Linked DNA regions of Caenorhabditis elegans. The protein of the gene in region 3 interacts with the protein of the main gene of each other region in a pairwise test. Each region holds a gene or a part of one and is shown on either strand. Other genes may lie near its edges.

Region 1 (8,515 bases), 4.5 Mb from region 3:
AGGGATTTTAAGAAAACAATTTTTTTAAAAGTTATTTTTTCGAAAATTTGAACGTTTTCTAGAGATCTTTATCAGAAAATACCCGAAGATTGAGCTCTGATAGTTATTTCCCGGTTTTTTTTTTGGTTTTTCCCGAACTTTATCGATTTTTGTGAAATTTATTGATTTTTCTGAAAATTTATCGATTTTTCTGTAAATTTATTGATTTTTATTGAAAATACAGTGATTTTTCTAAAAATTTATCAATTTTTCTGAAAATTTATTGATTTTTCCGGAAATTTATTGATTTTTCCGGAAATTTATCGATTTTTCTAAAAATTTATCGATTTTTCTGGAAATTTATTGATTTTTATTGAAAATTCAGTGATTTTTCTAAAAATTTATCGATTTTTCTGTAAATTTATTGATTTTTATTGAAAATTCAGTGATTTTTCTAAAAATTTATCGATTTTTCTGAAAATTTATCGATTTTTCTAAAAATTTATTGATTTTTCTAGAAATTATCGATTTTTCTAGGAATTTATCGATTTTTCTGGAAATTTATCGATTTTTCTGAAAACGTATCGATTTTTCTAAAAATTTATCGATTTTTCTGGAAATTTATCGATTTTTCTGAAAATTCAGTGCTTTTTGTAAAAATTTATCGATTTTACTGGAAATTTATTGATTTTTATTGAAAATTCAGTGATTTTTGTAAGAATTTATTTATTGATTTTTCTGGAAATTTATTGATTTTTCTAAAAATTTATCGATTTTTCTGGAAATTTATTGATTTTTATTGAAAATTCAGTGCTTTTTGTAAAAATTTATTGATTTTTCTGGAAATTTATTGATTTTTCTAAAAATTTATCGATTTTTCTGGAAATTTATTGATTTTTCTGGAAATTTATTGATTTTTATTGAAAATTCAGTGATTTTTGTAAAAATTTATCGATTTTTCTGGAAATTTATTGATTTTTATTGAAAATTCAGTGCTTTTTGTAAAAATTTATTGATTTTTCTGGAAATTTATTGATTTTTCCGGAAATTTATCGATTTTTCAGCCAAATTTCCAATGTTTTTTTCCAGAACCGCACCGACGCTCTGAAAGTTGAATTCGATGGCTCCAACACCAAAACCAAACTCATCGATTTACTGGAAAAAGCCAAGTTGACGCCTGGATTAAGCCCCAGCGCCGCCGGATGTGGAGATCAAAAATCGATTGACGAATTCGGAGAAATGTGGAAAGCCTATAGAAATAGCGAGGAAACTGTCGAAAAAACGCGGGAATACGGTCGTCAGATGAAGAAATTACTCGGAATTCAACAATAATTTACTGTTTTTTTTTAGTTCTGCTAAGATTATTATACATTCGTCACGAATGTGTAATAATTTTTTTTCTCGAAAATTTTTTGTTTTTTTTTTGTTATTCTAGCAGTTTTTATAATAGATCCCTCAAATTCTGTCAAAATTTGGAATTTTTTCCAAATTTTTAGCCGGATCTGTAATAATTTTTTTGTCCGAATTTTTTAGATAGTTCCCATCTTTCATGTTATTTCATTTTTTTTTGGAAAAATTTATATATATATATTTTCCAATTTTAAAAAATAGTTATTTTTAATGTGTGTAAAAATCAATACATACTTTATGATTTTTTTTTTCAAAAAAAAAAAAGAAGATAGTGTAATAGATTAAATTATCACAGAAAATAGAAAAATTGATGCTTATTTTAAAAAATTACAACATAGGTAAAAATGAAATATATATATGACATATCACAGAAATTATGAAGAAATATGCAGATTTTTTAGTTTTTTGCGGGGAATCTGGGGGAGAAATTGGTGGGAAATTCGAATTTTTGATAGAAAATAATTAAAAACTTTTTTAGAAGTTAAATTTAATTTCGGGAAATACCTTTTTCTCAGAAATTTTTGAAAATTTGCTCTAAAATGGGCAAATTTCATGTTTTTTAATGCGAAAAACCAGAAAAATCAATAAATTTTCCATAGAAATCGATAAATTTTCAGAAAAATCGATAAATTTTCAGAAAAATCAATAAATTTTCAGAAAAATCGATAAATTTTCAGAAAAATCAATAAATTTTCAGAAAAATCAATAAATTTTCAGAAAAAATAATTTTCCATAGAAATTGATACATTTCGAATTTTTTTGTTATTTTCCTAACCAAACGTAATAAATCTTTAAAAATTCTATTTTTCCAGCTAAAAATTGAGTTTTTTCCAAAAAAAAAATTTTTTCCGGAAAATTCGAAATAAAATGTGTTATTTCCTAGTTTTTCAAGCCGAAAAAAATTATTTTTTTCCTATTTTTCCTCAAAAATTCGAATTTCCCATCCATTTTTCCTCCACCGGGGATATCATTAAAGTGTAGAAGAAGAGCACGCAGTTTTGGATCTCTCTTCAAATTCCTGAATTCGTATTTCCAATTGAATCCGTACTTGAGCCAACCGTGCTCTTTCGGCTTCTAATTCCGAATTTTGAGTCCTCAAAGCTGTACAACGTTCCTTCCATCGTTCAATTCCTTGCCCATCAGTTGCCTGAATCTCTTCTCCAATTAAATCGTCGATTTGATGGCCGATTTTCGAGAAAAAGCTCTTCACATCTTCCTCAGAATAGAGTAATTCTGTAGTTTGTGTTGATGAATCTGTTGTGGTAATTCGTTTTTCCTCTTCGATGACTCTCTGCAAAAATATTGTGAATTTTTGGAGATTTTTCAGTGAAAAATTTGAAAAATTTGAAGAAAAATGGTTAAAAATGAGTATTTTTGAATTTTGGCGCTGCTAAAACTACAAACTACAAGTAAATTTTTAGCAGCCCGCCCAAGAAATTAGCAGCGCCCAAGAAATTAGCAGCGCCCAAGAAATTAGCAGCGCCCAAAAAAATAGCAGCGCCCAAAAATTAGCAGCGCCCAAAAAAATAGCAGCGCACAAAAAAATAGCCAAAAATTGTTTAAAAATCATATTTTTGTGATTTTCAACCTGTTCAGAAAATAAAAACTACACTAATTTTCGATTTTATCGCAATTTTGAAAAGTTTTTCTTAAAAATTCGTTAAAACGAATAATTTCAAACTTTGGGCGCTGCTAAGACTACAAACTACAACTAAAAGCTTTCCCTTAACTTACCGGTAGAGGTGACGGTGTGATTCTTTGTGGAATCGGCGGTGGAATACTGTCCGGGGTGGCTGAAAATTTGCGGAAATTGGGAATATTTTGATTTTTTCTCGAAAATTGAAAGCAATATATTTTTTGAAAAATTCCAGTTTTTTTAAAATTTTTTTCGAATTTCTGCCCAATTTTTCAGTCTCATACCAGGAAAAGACGCAAAAGTAGTCGTAGTCGTTGTAGTACTAATCGATTGAGCTGTCGGATCGGAATGTGATGACCAAAGTGATAGGGTAGTTGGTGGTAGCTGGGATTCCGCCGAGGCTTTTGTCTTATTCAATGCAATCAATTTCAAGTCAAGACTTGCACTTCTGTTGTGTCCACGTTGTTGTTGTTGTGGGCGGACAGGTGGAATTGGTGGGGGTCCTGAAAATATGGATTATTGATTTCGGGCGCTGCTCTTAGATTGCAAATACTACTAAATATTGAGTGTTGCGTGTTTTAATGAACTTACTTAATACTTAATACTTATTAATACTTATTTAGGTAATTAAATAACTAAGTTACTAACTACATACTTACGTAGTTAGTAATTTAATTACTAAGTTACTAATTAAGTACTTATTTAGATGATGATTAAATAAGAAAATTAGTAGTTAAAAACTCACTCTGTTACTAATTAAATACCCACTTAGTTAGTAATTAAATACTCACTTAGTAGCAATTTAATACTTCCTTAGTTACAAATTAAATAACTACGTTACTGATTAAATACTCACTTTGTTACTAATTAACACTAACAGGGTTAGTAATTAAATACTTACTTAGTTATTTAATTACTAACTAAGTCACTAATTAAATACTTCCTGAGTTATAAATTAAATAACTATGTTACTAATTAAATACTCACTAAGTTAGTAATTAAATTCGTATTGAGTTAGTAATTTCATAACTAAGTTTCTAATTAACTACTTACCAAGTTATATAATTAGCAACTCAGTAAGTATTTTAATTACTAACTAAGTCACGAATTAAAAACGTACTTAAATAGTTATTAATTAAATAATTAGTTACTTAGTCAGTATATAAATAACTATGTTACTGATTAGAAAACTAGGTTTTCTAAAACATTTGAATCGAAAACTATTGTAGTTTTTGTAGTATGACTGCTATTCAACTAGCAATTTTTCGAATAAATTATTATTAGTCAATAATTTAAACTTTTTATATTGTGTTCACACATTTGAGAAGTATAATAAACACTACAACAATTTCTTCAATGAATCCAAACTTACCCAGTGGACTCTTAAGTGCTAACAATGCAGAATGCTTGATAGCTGTTGGCCTACTGTCCACTAATAATGGCGGTGTATCCGAGAATTGTTTGATGATTGGCTGGTTTGCCCACTGGAATTGGAAAAATTCGAAATTAAAAAAAAAACGTCGTTAATGTTTTGAATGATGATACATATTCAAAAGTCAATTAAATTATTTCAAAAACCCCCACATTTTTCACTGGCCCATCAGCTTCTACATGTCCTGCACCGGCGGGACTAGGCGTCGCCGCAACTGTAGACGGAGCCCGTGGCTCTGTAAGTGGTGGCCGCGCGAAACCGGGTAGCACATCAGGAATCGGAACTTCTCCTTTCACTTTCAACACTACTAAATGCATCGCAATCGAGAATTCGTTTAAATCCAACCATCCGTCTTCATTCACATCGGCCAGCGACCAGATTTTCGATAAAGAGCTCATATCCAGCGAGCTTCTCTTGAAAAACGCTACAATTCGTTGATCGGCTCCGCAAAGGGCTCCGCAGAGGTCTGCGGCGCCTTGAGTGGTTTTTATTAAGTGACGGAAGCATTTTGTGTAGTATTCCTGCTGTTTTTCAGTGATTTTGAAGAGAGAATCCGCGTTGGAATCGGCTGAAAATTGGGGAAATTTGGATTTTTTCGAGTTTTTTAGCTTTAAAACCGAAATAATTTCGATTTTTGCAATTTTCCCTGAGAAAATGTGCTTAAAAATAGAAAAAATCGATTTTGGCGCCGCTAAACGGAAAAGCAGCGTCCAAAATTGTGTAGTTTGTAGCTTTAGCAGCGCCCAAAATTGTGTAGTTTGTAGCTTTAGCAGCGCCCAAAATCTTGTAGTTTGTAGTTTAGCAGCGCCCAAAATTGAATTAGCAGCGCCCAAACTTGTAGTTTGTAGTTTAGCAGCGCCCAAAATTGTGTAGTTTGTAGTTTAGCAGCGCCCAAAATTGTGTAGTTTGTAGTTTAGCAGCGCCCAAAATTGTGTAGTTTGTAGTTTAGCAGCGCCCAAAATTGTGTAGTTTGTAGTTTAGCAGCGACCAATATCTTGTAGTTTGTAGTTTAGCAGCGCCCAAAATTGTGTAGTTTGTAGCTTTAGCAGCGCCCAAAATTGTGTAGTTTGTAGTTTAGCAGCGCCCAAAATCTTGTAGTTTGTAGTTTAGCAGCGCCCAAAATTGTGTAGTTTGTAGTTTAGCAGCGACCAATATCTTGTAGTTTGTAGTTTAGCAGCGCCCAAAATTGAATTAGCAGCGCCTAAAATTGTGTAGTTTGTAGTCTAAGCAGCGCCCAAAAAATTCACTCAAAAACCTTCAAAAGTGGTTTTTTTAAATTAGTTTCATCTGTTTTATAGCGGAAATCTCTTCAAAAATGCGAAAAAATTTGAGAAAAATCGAAAAAGGTTATATTTTCATTAAAACTACTCATTTTTGAGGATAATTTTGCACTTTTTCCTAATTTTTCTGGATTTTTCACCGTTTTTCAGCTTAATTTCCACGTTTTTGCATCAAATTTGCCGATTTCGAGCTGAAATTCTTTATTTTTCAAAATAATCACCTGGACTCGTGTGCTTCAGACGTCTCGGACTACTAATAATATCGGCAGCGACTTTTTCAAAGTCTCCATTCGAAAAATATTGCGATTTTTTGTCGTTTTCTGTCATGGAAATTGATTTTTTCGCGGAAAAGCAAATAAAATAGTTGGTGCACGAGAAATGCGCCAGCGCACTGGAGATGCGCAAAGGGGGTTGACTGGCGCGATTCTCGTGCCGGCAAATTTATTTTTTCGTTTTGAAACGATGTTTCAGCTGAAAAACTCAATTTTCACAGATTTTTTGGGTAAAAATCAGTTTTTTAAAGCAAAAATTAATTAAAAAAGCGTTAAAATCTCCTATTCATACACCTAAAACGCTGAAAAATATCCATTTCCTAGTTGTATAATTTGTTTTTCAGTTTTAAAGTGGTTTTTCATGGATTTCGGGGTTTTTACGGGTGAAAACTATCAAATATCGGCAAGATTCAACCGATTTTCGAGCTAAATCTGAAATTTTTGCGAAAAATAATGAAATTCAGCCGGAAAATCGTATTTTTAAGGTTTTTTTTGCCCCAAAATTCGATTTTAACAGCATAACAATTATTTTTTCCAGGTTCTGATGCCCCAATCGTCCGAAATCCCGCAGATTCCTGAAAAAGCCCGAAATCTCACAAAAAGAGAGCTGAAAACGCTGAAAAATGCGCTCGGGAAGCAAGGATTAACGATGGAACAGCACGAAAATGCTCAAAAATCCACAAAACCCTGCGAAATCCTTCAAATCGACACTTTTTCGATTGATAATTCGAATTTAGAAGACGGCTGGTACGTTGGATATGGCGTCGAGTACAATGGCGTCGGAATTTCGGCCGCCGGGGGGGCTCCAGACAGCTCGGCGAGCAGTGAATCCGGTGATCTACCGCCGGCTGAAAATCGAGAAGCCGGCGGCGGGGAAAGCAGCGGATTCGATTCGGATCCACCGACTGATGATGATGATGATGAAGCACCGCAAGAGCTGCTGGAACGGCGAGAAAGTGATGATATTAGTGATAAAGGACAGCTTTTGTATGGATTGGACAGTGAATTTTATGTTGATAAGGCGCTGAAACCCACAAATGTCGAATTTCACGATAAAAATGACACGAAAAGCTTCAAAACTGGCGAATTTGTGTAAGTTTCGAGGAATTGAGCCCCACGTGGAAACTACAAACTACAAGTTTTGGGCGCTGCTCAAGCGATTTCCGCTGAAAAATCATAAAAATTCCCAAATTTTAACGAATTAAACAGAAAATTCCGTCGAAAAATGCGAAAAAACCGGCAATTTTGGTTAATTTTGAGCGAAAATGTGATTTTGGGCGCTGCTAAACTACAAACTACAAGTTTTGGGCGCTGCTAATTCAATTTTGGGCGCTGCTTAGAATACAAACTACAAGTTTTGGGCGCTGCTTAGACTACAAACTACAAGTTTTGGGCGCTGCTAACACTACAAACTACAAATTTTGGGCGCTGCTTAGACTACAAACTACAAGTTTTGGGCGCTGCTAATTCAATTTTGGGCGCTGCTTAGACTACAAACTACAAGTTTTGGGCGCTGCTAAACTACAAACTACAACTTTTGGGCGCTGCTAATTCAATTTTACGCGCTGCTAAACTACAAACTACAAGTTTTGGGCGCTGCTAACACTACAAACTACAACTTTTGGGCGCTGCTAATTCAATTTTGGGCGCTGCTAAACTACAAACTACAACTTTTGGGCGCTGCTAATTCAATTTTACGCGCTGCTAAACTACAAACTACAAGTTTTGGGCGCTGCTAACACTACAAACTACAACTTTTGGGCGCTGCTAATTCAATTTTGGGCGCTGCTAAACTACAAACTACAACTTTTGGGCGCTGCTAATTCAATTTTGGGCGCTGCTTAGACTACAAACTACAAGTTTTGGGCGCTGCTTAGACTACAAATTACAAGTTTTGGGCGCTGCTAACACTACAAACTACAAATTTTGGGCGCTGCTAAACTACAAACTACAACTTTTGGGCGCTGCTTAGACTACAAACTACAAGTTTTGGGCGCTGCTAATTCAATTTTGGGCGCTGCTTAGACTACAAACTACAAGTTTTGGGCGCTGCTAACACTACAAACTACAACTTTTGGGCGCTGCTAATTCAATTTTGGGCGCTGCTTAGACTACAAACTACAAGTTTTGGGCGCTGCTAATTCAATTTTGGGCGCTGCTTAGACTACAAACTACAAGTTTTGGGCGCTGCTAATTCAATTTTGGGCGCTGCTTAGACTACAAACTACAAGTTTTGGGCGCTGCTAAACTACAAACTACAAGTTTTGGGCGCTGCTAACACTACAAACTACAAGTTTTGGGCGCTGCTAATTCAATTTTGGGCGCTGCTAAACTACAAACTACAACTTTTGGGCGCTGCTCAAGGGAAAAATCAGTTTTTTTTTCTGAAAAGTATCGCCGAAAACTGAAAATCTCCAATTTTCTCCTCAAAAATTGCAATTTTCGCACTGAAATCTATGAAATCCCATAAAAAGATCTTAAAAAGACATTTTCTCATTGAAATTTG
Region 2 (6,621 bases), on a different chromosome or scaffold from region 3:
AAAAAAATCAAAGCGAATAAAAATTTTGGCATCTCTATTTGTGAACTTTGTGTAAGGGTTAAAATATTTTGAGAGTTTTCTGGAATTAAAAAGAAAACTCGCAGAACTTTTTTTTTTAATTTAAAAATTTACTCAAAAAATGTACAGTTTCTGTGAAAATTACACATTTTTTTTGTGAAAACAAGTTCAGTTTTCCTTAAAATAATTAAAAACCAAATCCCATAATAATTAAATGTAATAATAATGTTTCAAATATATATATAAAAAATGAAACAGTAAAATTTTTTGAACATTGCCGAAAAAAAACTGAGTTGAAAATTGATTTTCACATATTAGGCAGGCGCGAAAGATGCCTACGTACTTGCCTACCTACCAATTTATTTAATTTATTTCTGAACTGCAGTATTTTGCGTTAGATTTACTCATTTGTAGTGTGGAGTTTGAAAAAAAGAACCTAAAAAAATGAAAAATTTAACTGTCATCAGAACGAAAAAATTGAATTTGTTGGAGTTTGTTAAAACTATCAAGCTGAAGAATTTTTTTGCTAATAAATTTTAAAAAACTATTTTTAATTGAAAATGGAAGTATTTTTATTGTAGTCAATATAATGCTGAGAACAATTTGAAATTTTCTGGTGCCAATATAAAAACTCAATGAGCTTGTAAGAGTTCAAAATTTCCTGAAAAATTTACTAGTATGGTTCCGAATGATTGGTTAGATTTTTTCACAATCTTCGTGCTTCCTGGCCGTTTTTTTAAGAAGTGAGGGAAATTTTGATGACTCAGTTTTGTAACTTTTAGAGGAAATTGTTCATTTTTTTGCTTTGATGCTCAAATCTAAAATAATCCGAAAATTATTAAAAACAAAAAATGAGAACTCAGGAGCTATTAAAAGTTATTTGCACATTTTTTTATGAACTTTGTGAATGTGTAAAAGTTTCGATATTTTTTTTTTGGAATTGAAAAATAATCGGAGAATCACAATTTGCAAACTTTAATATATTTTTTAATAATATGTTTTCCACTATAGACTCTGTGAAACATTAGAGAATTTTTAGTGAAAATAATGATCAGTTTCAATAAGTTCTTAATCTCATTGAGATGAATTTTATTGATCTTTTAGAATACTGTGGAAATGTAGCTTATAATAAGTCTAGTTCAATAAGAATGAAGCCTTATTATAAGCTACATTTTCGTGTAGAAATTTTAAAAATGTTTAATATTCATATTTGAATTTGTTAAAATATGTGTTTCAAATTAAATATCCGTAATTTGGAGGGTTTTCAATGACGTTTTTCGACATTTTTGCCGGTTAACTCCAGCCATTTTGTTTTTTGTGCGAAGTAAGGAAAACTTTCATTTCGATTCAATAGAATTAAATTCCGACAATGTTATTTTTTTGTTTCAGTCAATTTGATTCGGTTTTTGTCAAAGTGTTACAATTTGCAGTTTTTATTTTGTTTTTTTTCAATTAGGCATATGCTTTGTCCAGTATAACTCCTGTGAAACATTTGTGAATTTGTAGAAAAAATAATGTCCCGTTTCAATAAGTTTTCAAAGGTATCTCTTCGAGATGAATTTTATTATTCCGCTAGGAATCAGTGGATATGTAGCCCATAATAATTCTGTCAACTTTAATTCCAATTCAGTTATTGTCAAAATATTAATTGCAGACAATTTTGTTATGCTTTCGGTTTAATACTATTTTGGTTCTTAAATCGAACAACTTTGGTTTTCCAACTTCATATAACAATTTAGAGATTTTTTTTTCTGAAAACTAAGAAAAAGTTACACATTTCCTATTTTCAAGTTATTTTTTCAGTTATTTTCACTAACTAGTTAACTGATCACAAAAAACTTTGTGGAAAATATTCAAAACCTTAGTGACAATAATGTTCTGTTTCACGAAGTCCTTAAAAGTATCTTGTAACGGTGAACTTTAGTTCAAAGTTTCTCTGTTTGCGGCAATATATAAATTTCAAGAAATTTTACTATGTTTCTAGCTCAACACATTTTCAGAGTCTATAAAAAATGAAAACATTTTATTAATTTTTTTCCTGTTTCAGTGAGTTTTTAAAAAAAATTACCTTCTGTAGTTTCTAATCGGTTCCATGCTGCAATTTTAACCTCAACTTTGGAAAACTGGTATTAGTGTAGATTTACAAAGTTCTCGTTTTTTTTAAATTTTGGTTTAAAAAACGGGAGTTTTCCTGGAATTTACAAGGAAAATTGCAGAATCTGAATTCATTGAGATTTTTTTTACACTTACGCCGAAAATGTATAAACTCTGTGAAAAGGTTGCGAATTTTTAGTGAAAATATTGTTCTGTTTCAACAAGTTTTTAAAAGCATCTCGCAAAAAATTAATGTAGTTAATGAGCGTTAAATATGTATATCGTATTCCCTTTATCAATTTGTATTCCTGCGACAAATTTCCGTCAAAGAGAAATTTGTCTAGTTGGTAGTTTGTAGGATATAGTTTGTAACTGAAAATTTTAATTGCAGTTCAGTCTTTTGCCAAATATAAATTTAGTTATGTTTCTGGTTTAATACAATCTCAGAATCTCAGTGAAAAATAGTTCATCAATTTGTTTTTTCTCTGTTTCAGCAAGGAGTTTTAAATCCAGGCATTTCTTCTGTAGTTGATAATTTTTTTGAAGATTTACGAAATTTTCGTTTTCATTAGTGGTCGCTTTTTAGACATGCAGACATTTTGAGGATTCATGCACGGCCTACAATATATTTTCTCAAGCTTCCCAAGGCCTCTCTTGTCGTCTTAAATTCTGCCACTAACCCCATTTTGAATCAAATGCACATTGAGCTCATCTTCCATGCATCTCCTCCCTTCTCCTCTCATTCTCCATTTTCAGTGTGCATGATTGTCTGCGTCTCCCGCTTCTCTACACTCTCTCGTAGTCTCTACATCTCTCCGTCTCTGTGCTCTTTTTGCTCGTGAAGCTTTTAGTACTGCTAGAAGGAGTGAAGGAGTGACAATCGATTTTAAAGCAGAAAAATTAATTATGGATGTAAGTATTTTTTTTCAATTGTTTGTGTAGTTTGAAATTGAGCTAAAAAAACTGGAATGTTTCATGTTTTTATTAAAAAAGAACAATAAAAATCATAACTATTATAGTTACCATCAGAGGTGGGCGGATATTTTTTTCTGATATTTTCTAATAATGAATTTATCAATAAGTATTGATGTAGTTATTCTGGAAGAAATGTATCCGAACAAAAGAGTAACTATTAAGAAACATTTTAATATGATAAAACCTAGAAAAATTCTACAAGTTTTCTGTATAAACGATATGCAAGTCCATTATCCGATATCCGTAATATCCGTAATATCCGATATCCGATGTTGCTCGGCTAATAAGTTTTAAGGTCTCGGTAAGGAAAACTTGTAGAATTTTTCTAGGTTTTATCATATTAAAATGTTGCTTAATAGTTACTCTTTGGTTTGGATACATTTCTTCCAGAATAACTACATCAATACTTATTGATAAATTCATTATTAGAAAATATCCGAAAAAATATCCGCCCACCTCTGGTTACCATAATCGTGAAAAAACTTACTGTTTCACTTTCTAACAAATAATTTGTAGGTTTTCAAATTAATTATTGTTTTTTAACCATATTTTACAGTTCCAAATCGAAGAAGACCGGCTCGGAATGAGAATTCAATCGGAGACAATTGAGTTGACTAAAGATGAAAAAGGTGTCGTCGGAATTTCAATTGGTTTGTTCATTTTTTTCTCTGATGCTTGTATATAAATGGAAACCAACTCAAAATAATTTTTTAATAATAACTCGATAATGTTTAAGTGAATAGTTTGGTTTTTGAAACACTTCATTTAAAAACTACTAGAAACAGAAAAAAATGAAAAAAAAATGTTTTTCAAACAATTTGAAATATTACGCTAGTAGTGGTAGAGTGTACAATTTACCATTCCTTGGTTTTTTTTTACCGTCTGACCAAGAATAGTGTGTGAAACGAGAGATTTAGAGAAAGACGAGAGAGTGAGAGATTTGGTTATAGTAAGAAAGAATCGATTTTTAAATAGTGTGCGTTTTTGAGAGATTTAGAGAAAGAGACTGGTAAGACATTTTTGATGTTCTTGGTTCATTCAACCAGGGGACGGGTTCGAACCCAGGACACTATTCGTCTAAAACAGATGCCATACCAATACACTATAGACGTAGTCGCAAACCCAGTAGCATTTGACTCTTTTCTATTTCGAAACATCTGCCGTTTAGGAGACGTCTTTTTCCCAAACGCGATTTGAATGAATGCAAGCGTTACCGAGATTGATGAAGGAAGGAGGCCCCCCTCCCCGCGCCCCTGGGGGTTTCAAGAGTAAAAGTTGATGAACAAGTTTTTTCAATTTACCTGTGCTTTTGAAAAATGATGCATTCAAAGCTATTTGAAGTTTTTCGATAAAGGGTTCTCCACCCGTTATCGAAAACTTTAAAGAGCATTCCCTACAAAAAACATGTTTTACATTTTTTATTATTTATTCAATTACAGATAAGGATAAGTATTAGTGTTACATGCATTACTAACAATTCAAACATTATTATACAATCAATCAAATTTTATAATTTCCAATATTCTTTCGGCATTTCTTACAAACGTCAATTTTCAAAGTTGACCCATCATATTGTGCACCGTCCTGACAATCTGAACAAAACAGGATAGCGGCAAGTGGTTCCATTTTTCGTAAAGCAAACTGGGGTTCCGTTGTCTTGGCAGCCGTGTGTGTCGTTTTAAAAGTTTTCACATTTTTCTTTCCCTTCTTCTCCGACATAGGAATATCAGAAACATTTGATGGCAAAAACTCTGGTTCCTGAGACGAGTTTTGAAGAGTTTCAAAATTCCAAAAGACGTTCGCAGGTGAAGGATCAGGATAAGAAAAGTTTGAGAATGAGGACATTATCAAAAAAAGTCACTACGTACAACAAAAAATTGAGCACAAATGAAGATTGAATTCAGAAAAGTGGGCGGCTCTTGAAATTGGCATGGACAAATCATAAAGTTAATACTCCTGATGCATCAATCCAAGAGTCAAATTCGGCACCATATCCGTCCCAACGAACGAGGTGCTGTTTCTTTCCGCGTACTGTACGAGTGGCTAAAATCTTTTCAATTCGATACTGAGCGTCTGGTTTATATGTGCATTTAGTCAGTTCTCGAGTGTAGAATATTCCGGCAATTTTTTCTCCATTAGTGTCTACTATATTGTAGGTAACTGGTTTCCTTGCAAACACTTTGGAAATTACATAAACTTCTGTAGTCCATCCTTGTTCGTAGCCCTTGTCAAATTGTCCTCGTTTTGCAGCGATTCTGACGTGATCTCCTACTCTGAATTTGATTTTAACGCTGTCTACAGGCATCGGAGTTGAAAAATCTCCCCGCTCAACGTCTACTGGTTTTTTACCAATTCCACGATTAACGCTATTGTTGATACCATTCACAACTTGTTGTAAAACGTCCACATAACGTCGGTTGTACTTTTGAGTCATGTACTTTGCCAATCGAGTTTTCAGAGTCCTGTTTGCCCTCTCCACAATTGCACACTTTATTTCGCTTTTGGGTGAAAATAGATTCACAAAATTCTTGGCCAACAACTCTTTGACATGCGAGTTGTAAAATTCCTTTCCATCATCACTGTAAATTGTCATTGGTGTGACACCAATTTCTTTAAAAATGTCTTGTAGAGCTAGAGCCACTTCTTGTCCTTTTTTAGACTTTAACGTTTTTACAAAAAGCCGTCGAGAGTAAATATCTATACAGACTAGTAGAAAGGTTACTCCGTCGTTTTCCTTCTTGTACCGGGACATATCTGCGAGATCAATTTGAAGAGATGCATAAAGACCAGGTGAGACTGTTTTCCGACGCGGGAATCGCGATTGATTCGGGCGGTGAAGCGTAAAAGATTCCAAATCTTCGAGAACCTTTTCGACTTGTTCATACTTTAACGACTTGTATTTTGGCTTCAAATATTTGTAAACGTTTTTTACAGATGAATAGGCGCAAGGTAGTTTTTCGTCTGTATATGCTTCTTTTATGGCAGACTTCATAATAAAAATTTTAAAAATACAACATTTATATACAGATTTTAAAATTTCCATAATCTACAATAAACTCGTGAACCTGGAGGTGGAGCTGAACCAGATCCGTGAAGAACGCGCCTTTTGGCAGCAGGGATATTTGTACCATTATCTGGGATGGTTGAAGAAATGTTGCGTTTCAAGTTTTGCATCTTATAAATTTTGTTTGGCCTCACTCTACTCATATTCTTTCTTCTTTTCAAATCAAATTTCTGCCTCTTGTTTAAGTTTTTTGTGGAATCCTGTTGAAATGGTCTTTTTTTAATGGAAATCTCAGTGTTTTGTGGCGTCTCATCAACCATCGGCTCTTCATCTTCATCTTCCTCATCCAGCTGCAATTTATAAAGTTTTCGCGGTTTCACGTTATTCATGCTCTTTCCTCTCTTGAGATCAAACTTTTGCCTCTTGTTTGAAGTGGCGTATTGCTGAAACGATCGTTTTTTAATTGAAACTGGTGTAATTTCCACAGTTTTTTCCTCAGGTTTCCTCGGTGGAGCGGCTTGCATATCTTG
Region 3 (6,004 bases):
GAAGAAAATCTAGAAAAAATTTCACGCTCAAAAATGCAGTCTCGACAGAGGCCCCACGAAAAGGGGAGCAGAACAAAAAGGGGATCTGCAAAAAGGGGATCTGCGAAAAGGGGAGATACGAAAAGGGGAGATACGAAAAGGGGAGCACCTTGCCGTAAAGATAATGCACCAGCGGGTCTCGAAACTATCAAACCTTCGCAGCTACAGTAACCCAAGAATTTAGTTTTTTTTTGCAAAATTTGGCGAGTTTTAGAAAAGGGGAGCTGGCACTGTGCCAAACGCACAAAACGCAATTTTTCTCACGCAACGCACGTTGATTTTTGAAATTTTCTTCTAGAAGATACGCTTAACAACACGCGACGCGTAACATCGGAGCATCGTTGTATCGTTTTCTTCGAGAAAAATAGCGTTTGGCACAGTGCCAGATCCCCTTTTCGTTGCTCCCCTTTTCGTATCTCCCCTTTTCGTATCTCCCCTTTTCGCAGATCCCCTTTTTGCAGATCCCCTTTTCGTTCTGCTCCCCTTTTCGTGGGGCCTCTCTCGACACGATCGAAACTTCGTAGCCACCGTACCCGCAAGCGTTTTACTATTTTCTCCCTTCTGTATTTAAATTTTCAATTAATTTTATAAATGTTAAAACTATAAATTTCTTGAAAAATCATGAAAAACTCGCCAAATTTTGCAACAAAAAAAAACTAAATTCTTGGGTTACTGTAGCTGCGAAGGTTTGATAGTTTCGAGACCCGCTGGTGCATTATCTTTACGGCAAGGTATAATGTTTCAGTATTTATCTCAGTATTTTTTTTTTCAATTTCTGTTGTATTTGTATTCGTGGTAAGACCCATCGGAACAAATCTGTGTCCCTTTGAGAACGCGTTTCAGAAAATTTCGAAGCTACGATATTATTATTGAGTTGAATGAATGTGTTTTTTGAATTCTTGGAACATATTTTGAAAGCTCAGTTTTTGATTGATTTAGCATGTTGAGTGATGTCTGAGTTTTTCGGTTTCCGTGGTAGCGCGTTCATTTTCCTGTGTTCTAGTCCTAGTTGCCTTGTTCAGATGGCTTCCAACGTGGATCTTCTGGAGATGCTCAAGTGACTGCTGCACCGACAACACAAGCTACATTCACACAACAGTTCGTTTTTCACATATTGTAATGTCGGTAATATTGATTTTTTCCAGACCAACGTTCCAACAAACATTCCGACCAATTCCTGCGGTATTTTATATTTTCTTTTACTCTCTGATCTATATTATAATTGCAATTTTACAGCGTCCACGACAGCGAATTGTTGCTCAACAGCCACAATCTCCATTTAATCGTCAAAATGTGTTCATTTCAAGAAGACGTGGACAGAGTAACAGTTTTGCTGCTCAGCGGCAAAATGTATTCCAGCAGCCACAGCCGGCTTTCGGTGGCGGACGTATGTTTCTAGATCTAGGATATTGTCGAATCTTTTTGAATCTTCAGAATGCGCTGATCGTGATCCTCAAGGAAGATGCAGTCAGTGGCGTCAGTTCTGTGCTTCACCATCCCATCAGCAATACTTAACGGCGTTCTGCGCAAGAACATGCGGACTGTGTCGTCGTCATTGAATTCGTTTCTTGAAGCATATTGTTTCCTAGGGTCTCTCAACATTTTGCTCACTATTACTAAAGATCCGCTAGGCTTTTCCAAACACACTACGAGTTTCTGAAATTTCTGTATGACAGACAAAAATAATAAATCATTTTTTAAAGGAAACTTCTTCTAATAATTCACTTACACATACTACCGGAGAAATTAAACGATTAACTGGGAAACATGCCATGAAAAATGAGAAAAATAAAAGCGAAAATGGCTGTAGTGAAGAAAGAAAGAAATAATAAAATTATGACCTAGTTATACGCTATCACTTCGAGACTTTACGGAGTAAATTCGGGGGTCAAAATGGGTAGAGGAAGATGGTGAGATGAATTGGGAAACAATGAAAAAGCCATCGTTTAGAGAAGCATCGTGTGTGGCTTCTCGAGGAACTCCTTGAAGTGACGAAGCCAGACGGCTCCAACAGCTCCATCAACAGTCCTGTGATCGCATGACAATGTTACCTTCATAGTCTTAATCTTCTTATATCTGAAATACAAAAACTATATAACTCGATAAATTTCCTAAAAACTCTTACCCTTCAGCCTCGTCTGGGACCAGCTTATCAGATGCTCCTCCGATAGCCAAAATGCATGATTGTGGTGGGTTGATGATCGCGGTGAAATCAGATACAGATCCGAACATTCCGAGGTTCGAGACGGTGAAAGTACCTCCTTGGAACTCATGAGGCTGCAATTTTCCTTCGCGTGCTCTTTGCGCCAATTCTACAATTTCTGAGGCAATCGTGGCGAGTCCCTTAGCGTGAGCATTGAAGATAATTGGAGTAATAAGACCGGCTGGGGTGCTGACAGCTACAGAAACATCGACGTGATGATTCTCACGAATGAACGAGTCCATCCAATAGCTGTTGGCTTCTGGAACTCGTTGACATGCAAGAGCAGAAGCTTTGATGATAAAGTCATTGATTGAGATCTTAGTGGCTTGTCCCGATGTTCCCTTTGCAAGAAGACCGTTGAGCTTTTCACGAACCCTGAATAAGGGTAATTTTTGGAAAGGAAGACTCGGGTTTATTGTTTTAATAATTTAAGAAAACTCACTGAAGAAGTGTATCCAATTGAATTTCGCTGGTCAAATAATAATGTGGAATCGTTGATTTGCTTTCGGTGAGTCTCTTAGCAATTGTCTTACGCATGTTCGAAAGTGGAATATCGGTATAATCTTGACCAGATACGGCTTGAGTTGTGGTTGAAGTAGCGCCCTTTGCTGGAGCCTGGGAAAGATCCGAAGCGAGAATACGTCCTCCTGGTCCACTTCCAGAAACTCCGCTCAAGTCAAGGCCATTTTCAGCAGCAAGTTTCTTAGCGAACGGTGAAGCAGAAACTCTTCCCGATGATGAGTGTGGAATTGGTGCGGACTTTGGAACTGATGGTGCTTGATACATTTGTGCTGGGGGAGATGGTTGCGATGAAGCGGCTGGTTTTGCTGGCTCTGGAGCTTTCTCGGCTGCTGGAGCGGATCCACCAGATGAAGCACCATCGTCCTTGAAATCCTTGAAGGCAGCAACGTCAGCCTCGTTGTCGACGATAATACAGAGAAGCTTGCCAATTGGAACATCCTTCGATCCTTCCTGGATGAGAATCTTGGCAAGATATCCTTCTTCCGGAGTTTCGAATCCCATAGTGGCCTTATCGGTTTCAATCTCGCAGAGCAAATCTCCTTCACTAAGTTGATCTCCTTCTTTTTTCTGCCAGCTTACAACAGTTCCGAGTTCCATAGTTGGAGAAAGTGCTGGGAGAGCTACCCGATTGTGCTTTGGCAGATTTCCTGAAAAAAGGAATTAGTGGACAACCAGTTGGAAAATATAAATAGGAAAAAAGTCTCACCACTGCTATAAAGGCGAACTTGTTTAATACTGAAAGCTGCAGCATTTGGATATTGGCGAGCTACTTGTCCAACAAGTCCTGAGCTTTTGGCGGCAGCTCCGGTGCTGAGGGCCCGACTCGATTGTGTGAAACCGATGTTGGCGGCAGAAATAGCTGCTGTTGTCGAGGGACGAAGCCCACCAATCGTTCTCAACGGCACCGGGAACTTCGACATTACCTGAATATTTTTCAGTTTAAACAAAATTATACTTGTAAGAAAACGTAGAAATAAGATATTTAATACACATTTGCAAACAACAATAAAGAATATAAAATTGTAAAGTTATTAAATTTTAAATGGAATGAAAAGCTAATTTACAAGAAAACTTTATCATCTTTCTGCATACTCGCCTGATTTTCGTAGAGTTTTTGTTGCAATAACTGATTAAAAACTTTATCACAGACTGATAAAACGTCAGAATTCCTGATCAGAAAAGAGTGTTCAGAAAAATGAGAAAAGAAAAAATTAGACGGGGACAACGACACTCCGTTTTAAACACGCGCGCCTTGTTTATCACACCGATTTTTTTTTATTTTCGCGACGAAAAAAAATGTTTTTGATAGGTTTTCCCAAGAGAAGTGTGTTTTCTAATGTGTTCTTTTTGTAAAAATTGTATTTTATAACAGAGATGACATCTTCGATCCCATTCCGTTCGTTCAACGAGAAATATGAGTGTAACGACGATGATAATTTCACCTACTCAAGCACTGAACAGGTTTGTAACCCCGCCATGTAATTATCATGTACGATTATGAGTATTTCAGAAACGTATTGAAACAATGCTTTTCGAAAACTACAATTCACTGGTGTTAGAACCATTCAAGACCACAAGCGACGAAGATCTCGCCGAATTGACGATTTTCCGTCAGAAACATGCCTCGTATTTGCTCAGATATCTCAAAAACTGCCCGTCGAGCTACGCAGTAAGTTTGATTTGTGAGAAGTGGTTTTTAACATTACAATTTTTAGACCTTAGACGCTAGTCGTTCATGGATGTGCTACTGGGGAGTTAATGCACTTAAAATTTTGGACGCAGAAATTCCAAACGATGTTATCGAAAACATTATTGTTTTTCTTAAATCTTGTGAACATCCAGAAGGTGGCTATGGTGGAGGACCAGGACAATTGGCTCATTTGGCTCCAACGTATGCCGCTGTCATGTGCCTAGTGTCTCTACAAAAAGAAGAAGCTCTACGATCTATCAACAGAGTCACACTGTTCAATTTTTTGAAGAAGTGCAAGCATGAGAGCGGAGGATTTTATATGCACGAGGGAGGAGAGGTAATAATTTATTAATGAATATCTCTGGCAATGGTTCAAAAGCTCTAAATGTACTGAAACTCCTGCATAGACTTGATGAAGTCCTACTCAGAGTGAAACTTCTACGTACTCTTGCATAGAACTTTAGGATCCTTGCTGCACACTCTACGAATTGCCTCTAGTGTTGTTTTTTTTGCCAGAGATATCATAAAAATTCTGAGCTATCGAAAATTGAACATTTCCAGATCGATATGAGAAGCGCCTACTGTGCACTAGCAACATGCGAGATTGTGGGCCTACCTATGGATGAGATATCAAATGGTGTGGCCGAATGGATTATCAGCTGCCAGAGCTTTGAAGGTGGTTTCGGAGGAGAACCGTATACAGAGGCACACGGAGGATACACTTTCTGCGCGGTCGCCTCGTTGGTTCTGTTAAACAGGTCAGTTATTGTTATCTTTGAAAATGAGAAGAGACAGACCATCACGTGAACACCACATGTTCTTTCTTATAAAATCATATCAATTAAGTTAGTTCAGAATTTGAAATAAGATCATTGATCCTGATGATTTCCAGATTCCGTCTTGCTGATATGGAAGGTCTCCTTCGTTGGGCCACGCGCCGGCAGATGCGATTTGAGGGTGGTTTCCAGGGAAGAACAAATAAACTTGTTGATGGATGCTACAGCTTCTGGCAAGGTGCCATCTTCCCACTTTTGGACGGAGAAATGGAACGAGAAGGCCGATCATTGGAGAAAGGTCTTTTCGAGGCGCGAATGCTTGAAGAGTACATTCTTGTTGGATGCCAATCAGTACATGGAGGATTCAAGGATAAGCCGGACAAGCGTAAGATCCAGTTTTTATAACTAAAAATGACTTCAATTTTCAGCCGTCGACCTGTACCATACATGCTACGTTCTCTCAGGATTATCAGTTGCTCAGAAGTACTCTCTCGCTCGCGATGGGAAAATACTTGGTGGTGATGTTAACATGCTTGCTGAAATTAATCCAGTTTTCAACGTGACCATTGCTTCTGAACAATTTGCCAAGGAGTTCTTCACTTCTCATTGATCGTTCGATATGTATCCTTTCAATATGATTTCATTCGTTAATCTCGCTTCTTAAAGACGTCCCATATACGAGTTTCTTAATTCATATTTGCCTAAATTATGTTTTCCACCCGATTTTTTAAATATTTTTGTATAAAGTTGTAACAAAATTTTGTTTTCTGCTTC
Region 4 (8,767 bases), on a different chromosome or scaffold from region 3:
GGAGGGGGGAATAAGAAATCTGAACAGGAACGAAATATAAAGAACATTATTAGAAAGAACAAGCATGGCTTGATCTTCTTGGCAGTCGTCTCCTTATCCTATCACTTCTTCTCGGCGTCCTTCTGATCATGCTACCGAGCAACGTGGCACGATCGAAGAGTTTCACAACGGTTTGATACTTTCGCTCCACGAGGGGGCTCCCAATTCAGCGAGGGTCCTCTCACGAAGTTTAATTTTTTAAAATTAAAAAATAAGTAACACCTCAAGAATTCCATCGAAGTTGTGCTCCTTTGCAATAAGACGAAATTTTTTTTTACGGAATTGAACAGGATCATTGAGGTACGGCATGAAAACGGCTTCCTCGTTGAACGATGTTGAAGCTCCTTCACCATTGCACCTGAAAATCAACTTCTAAATTTTCCAATTTAAAGAAAATCCACATACTTATCCTCGGAAACGAATCCAATATTCTGGTTGCTGAGTGGAATTGCTTCAAAGATTTTGATCAGATTTTTTTTTGAAATTTTCGATCACACATCTTGTATCCACCAAATCGCCGAGTGCTTCATGAACTTCAGACTCGTGCTTTCCAACCTCTTCCATGAGCTTCACTTCTTCTGCTTGGAACTTTTGATTGCCTTCGGACCGATCTGACTTGTAGTTTCTTCTTAAATAGTGGCTGATTGAGCAGTCGACCTTGCAGTCCTACCTTCTTTGGCTTCTTCTGCGGCACTTGAGCCCTTGTAAGAGCACTTATTGCTGCTTAACCTTCCTTATTAATACTTCGAACAGCTTCTTCTTGTTCGCATCTATTTCGAATTTTGTCTTGAAATCTTCCAATGCAGCGACAACGTAATATCTGGAAATTATAAAAACATTAAGAGAAAATATTTTGAAAAAAAATCGAAAATTGCACTGAATTCCTAAATTTTTTATTAAAATCGAAAAAAAAAAATGAAATACGTGAGATTGAGTTTCGAGACTTTTTTATTCAGAATCAGCATATATTTCTCCATATTTGAGTAGGTTTTCAGAAATATTGTACCATAATTTTTGGAAAAATGTAATTTTTAATTCGAAATTGCACTGAATTTCTCGAATTTTTCACTAAAATCGAGAAAATAAATATGAAATACGCGAGATTGAGGTTCAAGACTTTTTAATTCGGAATCAGCATATATTTTTCCATATTTGAGTAGATTTTCAGAAATATTGTACCATAATTTTTCGAGATATTTTGAATAATAACTTACTTTTCGACGTTTTTTGCCTTTGTCCGGTTTAATCCATCGAATTTCGAAGCGGTTTGCGTAGATTAGCTGAAAACATTATGCTTATTCCACGTAGTAACAAGAAAAAACAAGAAAAAATAAGAAAAAACGAAGAAAAATAAGCATATAAGTCAAATTAAAAATGTTTATTCGATCAAAATTCTTAACCATAGGAGGCGGTGGCTAGCCGGCGCACTCTCGCGGCCACGTTAGCTTTGCCTCCCCGTGGAAAGGAGCCATGATATTACGGAAACACTATTTGAATTCTGAGAACGCGAAATATCTCGTAGCGAAAACTACAGTAACCCTTTAAATGACTACTGTAGCGCTGGTGTCGATTTACGGGTTCGATTTTTAAAATTATTTTTTTTGTTTTTTGTGTGCGTCATCGATTACTAAATTATAAATTATTTCCGTAAATCGACATACAATCGCTACAGTATTCATTTAAAGAATTACTGTAGTTTTCGCTACGAGATATTTTGCGCGTCACTCCTTCAGGCACCACATCTTACACTCAAAATCGAGGTGAATTTCTGTGTATTTGACAGCAAAAATGTCGTGAAAAACAATTAAATAAGGCAATTTGAAGAGGAAAAAACTGGGGCAGATGTGAGATAAGAAGAAGAAGAAGCGGGGCTTCGACAACCGTAAACTAATCAGAGATGGAAAGTGAGAAATTTGAAATTTAAGACAAAAAAGTTAACAACGGGGGATTTTTTTTAGAGAGAAAGAGCGAGTAATCGGGCAGCAGCAGAGAAAAAAAAAGATAATAAACAATTGAAAAAATATAAATATCGGGGAAATTATTGCTGAATAGACTGCAAATAGGTGACAATCTCGGGCGGTACAGAACGAAGTGTCTCTGGACAATTTCCGGGTCCACGGACAAGAACGGCCTGCGCAAAGTAGGCCTTGTGGTTGGCGATGTTGGCGGCGACGGGCGGTTGCTTGGGAGCGTAACTCAGACGACAGAATGGGTTCACAAATTCTCCCTCGGCGTTGTACATTGAAGCTTGCTCTTCTTCTGGTGATAGGACGGCTCGATCGGAGGCTGAAGCAGCTTCCAGCAGCATTGCCACCTCGTATGACAGAATTCCGTATTGACCACTGCAAAAAAAATTTATATGAGAAATTGAATTTAAAATGATTTTATTTGTAATTTTGTTTTTGTTAATTGTCGTTAATTGTTTTTTTTTTGAGAAAAAACCGAAAAAAAAATTAAAATCTTCATTTTTGATTTAATTTTTTTGTTGAAAAATCGGCAGTTTTCGATTTTGTTTTTTTGAAAAAATAGGGAAAAGTCGGTAATTGTCGATTTTTCAAAAAACTGAAAATTCCAGATTTTGTCAGGAAAAAAAACGAAGAAATCGACAAAATTTCAATTTTATTTTTTTAAATTTGTGTTTTTCAAATTTTTTTTTGATATGTGATTTTTAACTTTTCTCTGGAAAAAAACCGAAAATTTGCAATTTTTCAATTTTTTCCAAAAAAATCTTTAAAAAATAGAAAATTTTCGTTTTTTTTTCTGAAATATTTAAAAATTGTAACTTTCTATTTTTTTTAAACCCGTATTAAAGTTTAAAAAAAAAATCGGAGAAAAAAAAACTGAATCGAAAATATGTGATTTTCAATTTCCTTTGAAAAAAATATAAAAAATCGAAAATTTTCGTTTTTCGATATTTTTTCTGGAAAAAAGCCTAAATTTTCATTACTAACACAAGCTGCTGCGTGACATCGGCTAGCAAATTGCCCATTCCAATGGCAATAATCCGTTTCTCAGGCCCCGTTGTCGTTTGTTTCAGACCTGGCAAATCAATGCATACGACCTTCTCGATGAGCATTCCGAACATGCCAGTCTGAATATTCTCACACGATTGAACAAGATCCTGTGCACTCCGGGCGATCGTAAATCGACACAAGAACACGATGAATAGCTTCATAAACTTGGGTGTCTTCGACGATTGAACTCTTCGAAACATTGTATTGAGCACAAATGTCATCGCGGAACCCTCGAAGTGCTCAATCGACGGAAGAATCGTCGCCGCCAACTGGAAACCGTATTGATCCAAGGTTTTCGAGCCCAAAAGCCGCGCCAAATGGCTCAAGATCAACCCAGAATTCTCCGAGACGACTCGCTGAGCATTCACGGAAAGGATCACTTCGAGAACCGAAAGTGCCGCTGGAACATTCGCTGATCTCGCCCAAAGACGTTCGGATAGCAGAAACGGAAGGAACGGTGAGAATTGATCGATCGATGAGTTTCTAGCGATACATGAGGAGACGAGAACTCCCGTGATTTGGAGAGCATATGGGATGAGATCTTCCAAATCCTCGCGGAAGATCACTTCGATCAGTGGAAGGAGTTGAGCATCCAGTGAGGCGCCGATTGTTCGGGTCTGGAACAGGAAATTCGTTAAAAAATATAAAATGTTCTTAAAATTGCTATCACTTTTTTTTTGAATAAGAAAAAAAATCACAAAAAGGAAAACACGAAAAAGCAGACAAATGTTTCGATTTTGCAATTTTTAATTTTTTTTTTTCAGAAAAAAATTATCGATTTCTTCTTTAAAAAAAGAAGATTCTTTTCGATTTTTTCGGAAAAAAACATCGAAAAATTGAAAAACAAAAAGTTTTGATTTTTTTTTCAGTGAAAATCGTTCAATTTTTCGGGGTTTGTTTCGACAAAAATAATTAAAAACTAAAATTTTTCAGTTTTTAGGTTTCTTATCAGAAAAATTGAATTTTTTCGATTTTCCGAAAAATTAAAAAAAGGTATATTTTTTGAAAACACGAAAACGGAAAAGTGTTGGTTTTTTGTAAATTTTTGCGTTTTCCAGCAAAATTGCCAATTTTTCCGAAAATTTTCAGATCGAAAGTTAAATTATCGATGTCTATTCCAATTTCCGAGTTTCAGCGAATTTTTTTTTGCAGAAAAATTTCAGAAAATTTGACAAGTTATGTTCCAATTTATGAAAAAAAATTTGAGACCAAAGTGCGGCACGGAAAAATGGGCGGAGTTTAGAGTGGTATTTTTCTCTCAAACTACTCCTTACCTTGGTGATCAACACACAAATCGTCTCAAACAAAAAGTGCGTGTGCACCGAATCCGCCGGATTTTTCGTCGCCGACTCGACCAACTGTGCGAGCTTGACCGCAATCGCGTCCGCATGCCGAATCGTGTCGTCATCGAGAATCACAATGATCCTCAAAATCGCCTTGATCAGATACGGCGAGTTTTGCGCTTTGGCATCCTTGTCGAACGCGGTGACAAGGTTCTGAAGGATCGAGGAGACTGGAAGATTTTGAGCCGAGAAGATTTTGTTGGAATCAGCGAGAAGGATCTTTTCAATAGCGTAAGCTGCGTACTTGTGCAGAATCGGAGTATTCGAGCTGAGAAGAGCGTCCGCCGACTTGATCGCAGTCATAAGGTGCTCTGGAGCCAGCTGTTTCCTGAAAGTGACCGCAAACTTCAGTGCATCAGCTTTAAGGATCGGAGTTTGATTGACATCGGCGTTGAGATGTGTGGCCACTTGTGTGATGAAGAAGTCGTTGATGTCCACCAGCGGGTTCGTCGCCGTTACTCCACTCTTAGCAGTCTCCGTCTTCACCGCGATCGCCGTGATCAGCGAGTAGACAATGTCGATCTTGATCCAATCACCACTTCCCAGCAGGTTCTGCACGATCTCCCCCAGACATGGAAGCATTTGCGCCTCGAATCTTCGGCAGAGACCTCGCGCAAGATCGATGGCTCCACGGCGTCGAGTTCCTACATCGGTACCCTCGATGTCTCGCTTCATATAATCCAGTGGCTCATCCTCGAACAGTTCCATATCCTGTTGACGAAGCAGAAGGTTCTGAACGCACACGTTCTCGGCGAGAGTCTTCAGAACGCCTTCACCAGTGAAGTGTCCCTCGTAGTACTGTCGCTGGCTGACCATCGACAGAAATTCCAGCGCGGCGCACACCATCGTATCGTATCGAGTGTCGGGGCCGGTAGACTTGAGCAGATTCCAGACGGCAAGGATGATGTCGGGCACGAACTCGGAGATCTCCTCCTCGTAGCGTTGCGAGTAGAGCGTGAAGATCTCACAGATCTCGTGCTTAAGCTCGTCCAGAGTTGTAGGTTCTCCCGAGTTGGAGGTCTGCGTCGGCGCGTCGATTTGCACGAGATGCAAGAAGTGTGGCATCCAGTCCTTGAGATGATCCTCGAAGTATTCCGGAATCTCCTGTGAGCACAGAGAATGGTAGACTTTTGCAATGAGAAGTAAGACTCGGAGCCATTGGGCGATCTCGTCGGCTCCGAGTTGATCCTTCCGCTGTCCCACCTCCATCATGTTCCGTAGCAACAGAGTTAGAGGCTCTTGGGTCTGAAAAATCGGTTCTTTTTATTTGTAACTGAAAAATCTGGGGAGAAAACAGTTTTTCGGTCCAAATTCGAGACTGACATTCAGATTTCTTCAATTTTTTGGCTCAAAAATTTTGAAAATTTGTCCATTTTTATAGGAAAATTATCAATTTTCGCCAAAAATTCCTCATTTTTGCTTTAGTTAAAATTTTTGACTAAAAAATCATAAAATGTTGAATTTTTCACGATTTTTCGGAAAACAAGGCCAGCTTTAGCTAGCTTAAATGTCTAATTTTGGTCATTTTTTAGGGTCAAAGCGGACAAAAATTCAACTTCCGACGGCTGCGACGTAAAAAAGTGGCCAAAATTGGGGATTTTAGCTGAAATTAGCCAAATTTTGAGCCAAAACGCAACTCACGCTCAGTAGACACTTCTTCAGCTCTTTCCAAAGCTCTGCTGACTTGGATTCGAATCGGAATTTGCGGAAAATCTGCTCCATCGACGCCAGCGAGGCCACCAGGTGATTGAGATCCGCTCCGTTCAGGAATTTCGACAAATATGGAACCAAATCTGGCCATTTTTCGGGAAAATCTCTCTGAGCGATGAGATACAGAGCATTGGACAGGATTTCCTGAACATTTGATTTTGTATTGAACATCGCTTCGAGAAGCATGCTTCTGAACTGCTCCTCGTCTTCCTGGCCCATTTCTACCTCTGGTGCCGGGCCCTGAAACAATTTAAATATAAAATTCACGCATTTATTCAAATTTTCCAACCCAATTTCTCTTCACAAAATTTTTCAAAGCGACAGCCGCGGCGATTCGGATCTGCGGAGCAATTTGTTGCTGTTCGTTGACCACCAGTTGAAGAATTTGAATGATATAGCCTGGATTTGATTGCAGCGAGCGGAGCGCTTCTTCTCCACGCTTGCGAATCGCAGCATCCGGCTCCAGAGTCTGCTGGAGAGCTGCTCCGATTTGCTCCATCTGAAAATAGGGAAAAATAGCTGTTTTGGGGGTGAAATAGGGAAGAATTAGGTGAAAGGACAAAGATAGTTTAGCTTAAAACTTGAAATCTAAAATTTCCGGTCAAAATATTAAAGTTTTACGCAATTTTTCGCAGGCCCGCGGGGAATAAACTCGCAAAAATTCGCAAAAATAAAAAAAAAATTTCAAAAGTGTGAAGTGTTTGCGTACAGCGCACCCGACCCGACGCGCAAATTTTTTTCATTATGTTCTCTGTTTTCACTGATTTTTACTGATTTTTCCTAGTTTTCCCTTGATTTTCTTCAAATTTTCCACTTTTTCAGCAAAACGTGCATAAAAAAATAAATTAAAACATTTCAATTTTCAAAACTTTGCAAAATAAAGGCGTCGTTGCGTACAATGCGCACGACTTGACGCGCAAACTTCCCAATTTTTATTCTTAAATTTTCCTGGATACCCCTGGTTTTTTCTCTGTTTCCCCCCTAATTTTTCGCATTTTCAGCAAACATGGGTGTTGATAAAAAGCAAAAGCAACGAAAAACCAATCCATTCGAGCTAAAATTCAACAAATCCAAGCATGACGTGAGTTTTTCAGAGTTTTGAAGAAAAAATCGATTTTCTCGCAGATTCTCGGCCGGAAAAAGGGCGCACAAGTTGGAGCACCGACTGCGTCACGAAAACGAGCTCACGAGCAACGTGAACAGACGCTAGGCGTAGAATATGACCGGAAAAATAAGATTAGCAAAATTGTCGACAAACGGCTCGGCGAAAAGGACGGAAAAAGCGAGGAGGAGAAGGGCGCGATGAGATTCACAGAGGAAAGAGTCAAAAATTATAAAAGAGCATCGAAATTCAACTTGACAGATGATGGAGATGAGGAGGAAGAAGGTTTATTCCGAAATAAATTGAGAAAAATTTTAATAAAGTAAATTTCAGTACTTACTCACAAGGGAAAAGCGCTCTCGGACATTGAAAAATACGACAAATCGATGATTTCCGACTCGGATGACGATGAAGAGCCGGGAAATTTGGGCTCAAATATGGTAAAAGTGGCTCATTTCGGTGGTGGAGAGAAGACCGCCGAGGAGCACGTCCGCGAAAAAATCAGCCGAGAGGATATGATTTCGAATTTGATTGCGAAAACGAAGCTGGCGCGTCACGAGAAGCAACAGCAGAAGGATGAGCTCGAGCTGATGACAGAGTCGTTGGATTCCAAGTATCAGGCTTTGATGGGCAAAATGAAGGCTTCATTTAGGCCGACCGGGCGCCAGCCGCTGGAAAAAGATGATTACGACAAATTGGTACGGGAAACATCCCGGTTTTCTCCAAATTTTTAAGATAAAAGATAATTATAAATTTAGAGTGAAAATCGATTTTTTTCACAATTTTTTAGTGGAAAACCTAAAACCCAAAAAACTTGATCTGAAAATGCTAATTTTTAACCATTTTTGCTATGGAAATTGGAAATTTTCATTAATTTTGCTGTAAAAGTTGAAGAAATCCAAGTTTTAGCTTTGTAATCAGAGAAAACACTGTAAAATTATTTCGGAATTTGTGCAATTTGAAGTGAAAAATAAAACATTTAACTTCTTATCGCGAAAGAAATTGAGCTGAACTGAGAATTTTTTTGACGAAAAATCATTAAAAAGTCAATTTTTTTGACAAAAATTCGAGAAAAGTCGGTTTTTCTTTTGACAAAAATGACGAAAAAGGCAATTTTTAATTTAAAAAAATAAATTTTTCGCCGAAAAATAACTTTAAAAAAGTCGTTTTTTTACAAAATAAAACAATTTAAAATAACTATTTTTCGACAAAAAAATTAAGAAAAAGCCAATTTTTTTGTTTAAAAAATGATAGAAAAAGGCTTTTTTTTTGTTTCTTCGCCTAAAAAATCAAGAAAAATAGGTTTTATTCCATTTTTTATCCAAAAATTATTATTTTTCCAGACAATCACCTTGAAAACCGAAGCCGACGCTCGTGCCACCCCAGCAGATCGTAAGCTATCCGAAGAAGAAGAAGCTCTGAAAGAAAAAGAACGTCTGGAAACTCTCGAGGCCGCCCGTATCTCGAAAAATAATGCATTTTTCAACGCAAAATCTCATTTATCAGCCGATGCCGACGTTGATATCGATGCTGGATCGAAGGCCGACGCCAGAAAAGTT

Evidence for each region.
Region 1: the proteins of dlat-1 (region 3) and reps-1 interact in a two-hybrid assay, tested with the Caenorhabditis elegans proteins (one large-scale study listed by BioGRID).
Region 2: the proteins of dlat-1 (region 3) and Y57G11C.22 interact in a two-hybrid assay, tested with the Caenorhabditis elegans proteins (one large-scale study listed by BioGRID).
Region 4: the proteins of dlat-1 (region 3) and xpo-2 interact in a two-hybrid assay, tested with the Caenorhabditis elegans proteins (one large-scale study listed by BioGRID).

The regions. Positions count from the first base shown.
Region 1 is NC_003283.11:18,984,305-18,992,819, forward strand, and holds reps-1 (REPS (RalBP1-associated Eps domain-containing protein) homolog), read right to left. Parts: upstream 6,197-8,515; 5' UTR 6,065-6,196; coding exon 5,959-6,064; intron 5,026-5,958; coding exon 4,610-5,025; intron 4,510-4,609; coding exon 4,398-4,509; intron 3,529-4,397; coding exon 3,310-3,528; intron 3,183-3,309; coding exon 3,124-3,182; intron 2,681-3,123; coding exon 2,360-2,680; 3' UTR 1,670-2,359; downstream 1-1,669. Other genes in the region: mrps-35 (Small ribosomal subunit protein mS35 mitochondrial conserved domain-containing protein), read left to right, coding at 1,069-1,311; Y39B6A.37 (Structural protein), read left to right, coding at 6,554-7,101.
Region 2 is NC_003282.8:14,834,193-14,840,813, forward strand, and holds the start of Y57G11C.22 (PRKCA-binding protein), read left to right. Parts: upstream 1-3,018; coding exon 3,019-3,024; intron 3,025-3,125; exon of another isoform or gene 3,126-3,147; intron 3,148-3,620; exon of another isoform or gene 3,621-3,641; intron 3,642-3,643; coding exon 3,644-3,737; intron 3,738-3,805; exon of another isoform or gene 3,806-3,827; intron 3,828-6,117; coding exon of another isoform or gene 6,118-6,534; intron 6,535-6,621.
Region 3 is NC_003283.11:14,443,604-14,449,607, forward strand, and holds dlat-1 (Dihydrolipoyllysine-residue acetyltransferase component of pyruvate dehydrogenase complex, mitochondrial), read right to left. Parts: upstream 3,688-6,004; 5' UTR 3,685-3,687; coding exon 3,471-3,684; intron 3,412-3,470; coding exon 2,685-3,411; intron 2,618-2,684; coding exon 2,165-2,617; intron 2,116-2,164; coding exon 1,986-2,115; 3' UTR 1,720-1,985; downstream 1-1,719. Other genes in the region: F23B12.4 (ShKT domain-containing protein), read left to right, coding at 1,062-1,137, 1,185-1,221, 1,276-1,426, 1,474-1,598; fntb-1 (Protein farnesyltransferase subunit beta), read left to right, coding at 4,139-4,225, 4,275-4,433, 4,480-4,791, 5,016-5,212, 5,347-5,615, 5,659-5,840. UniProt on the Caenorhabditis elegans protein: The pyruvate dehydrogenase complex catalyzes the overall conversion of pyruvate to acetyl-CoA and CO(2).
Region 4 is NC_003279.8:316,748-325,514, forward strand, and holds xpo-2 (Exportin-2), read right to left. Parts: upstream 6,606-8,767; coding exon 6,396-6,605; intron 6,347-6,395; coding exon 6,038-6,346; intron 5,642-6,037; coding exon 4,328-5,641; intron 3,671-4,327; coding exon 2,991-3,670; intron 2,382-2,990; coding exon 2,078-2,381; 3' UTR 1,802-2,077; downstream 1-1,801. Other genes in the region: nol-14 (Nucleolar protein 14), read left to right, coding at 7,113-7,187, 7,232-7,493, 7,542-7,906, 8,552-8,767.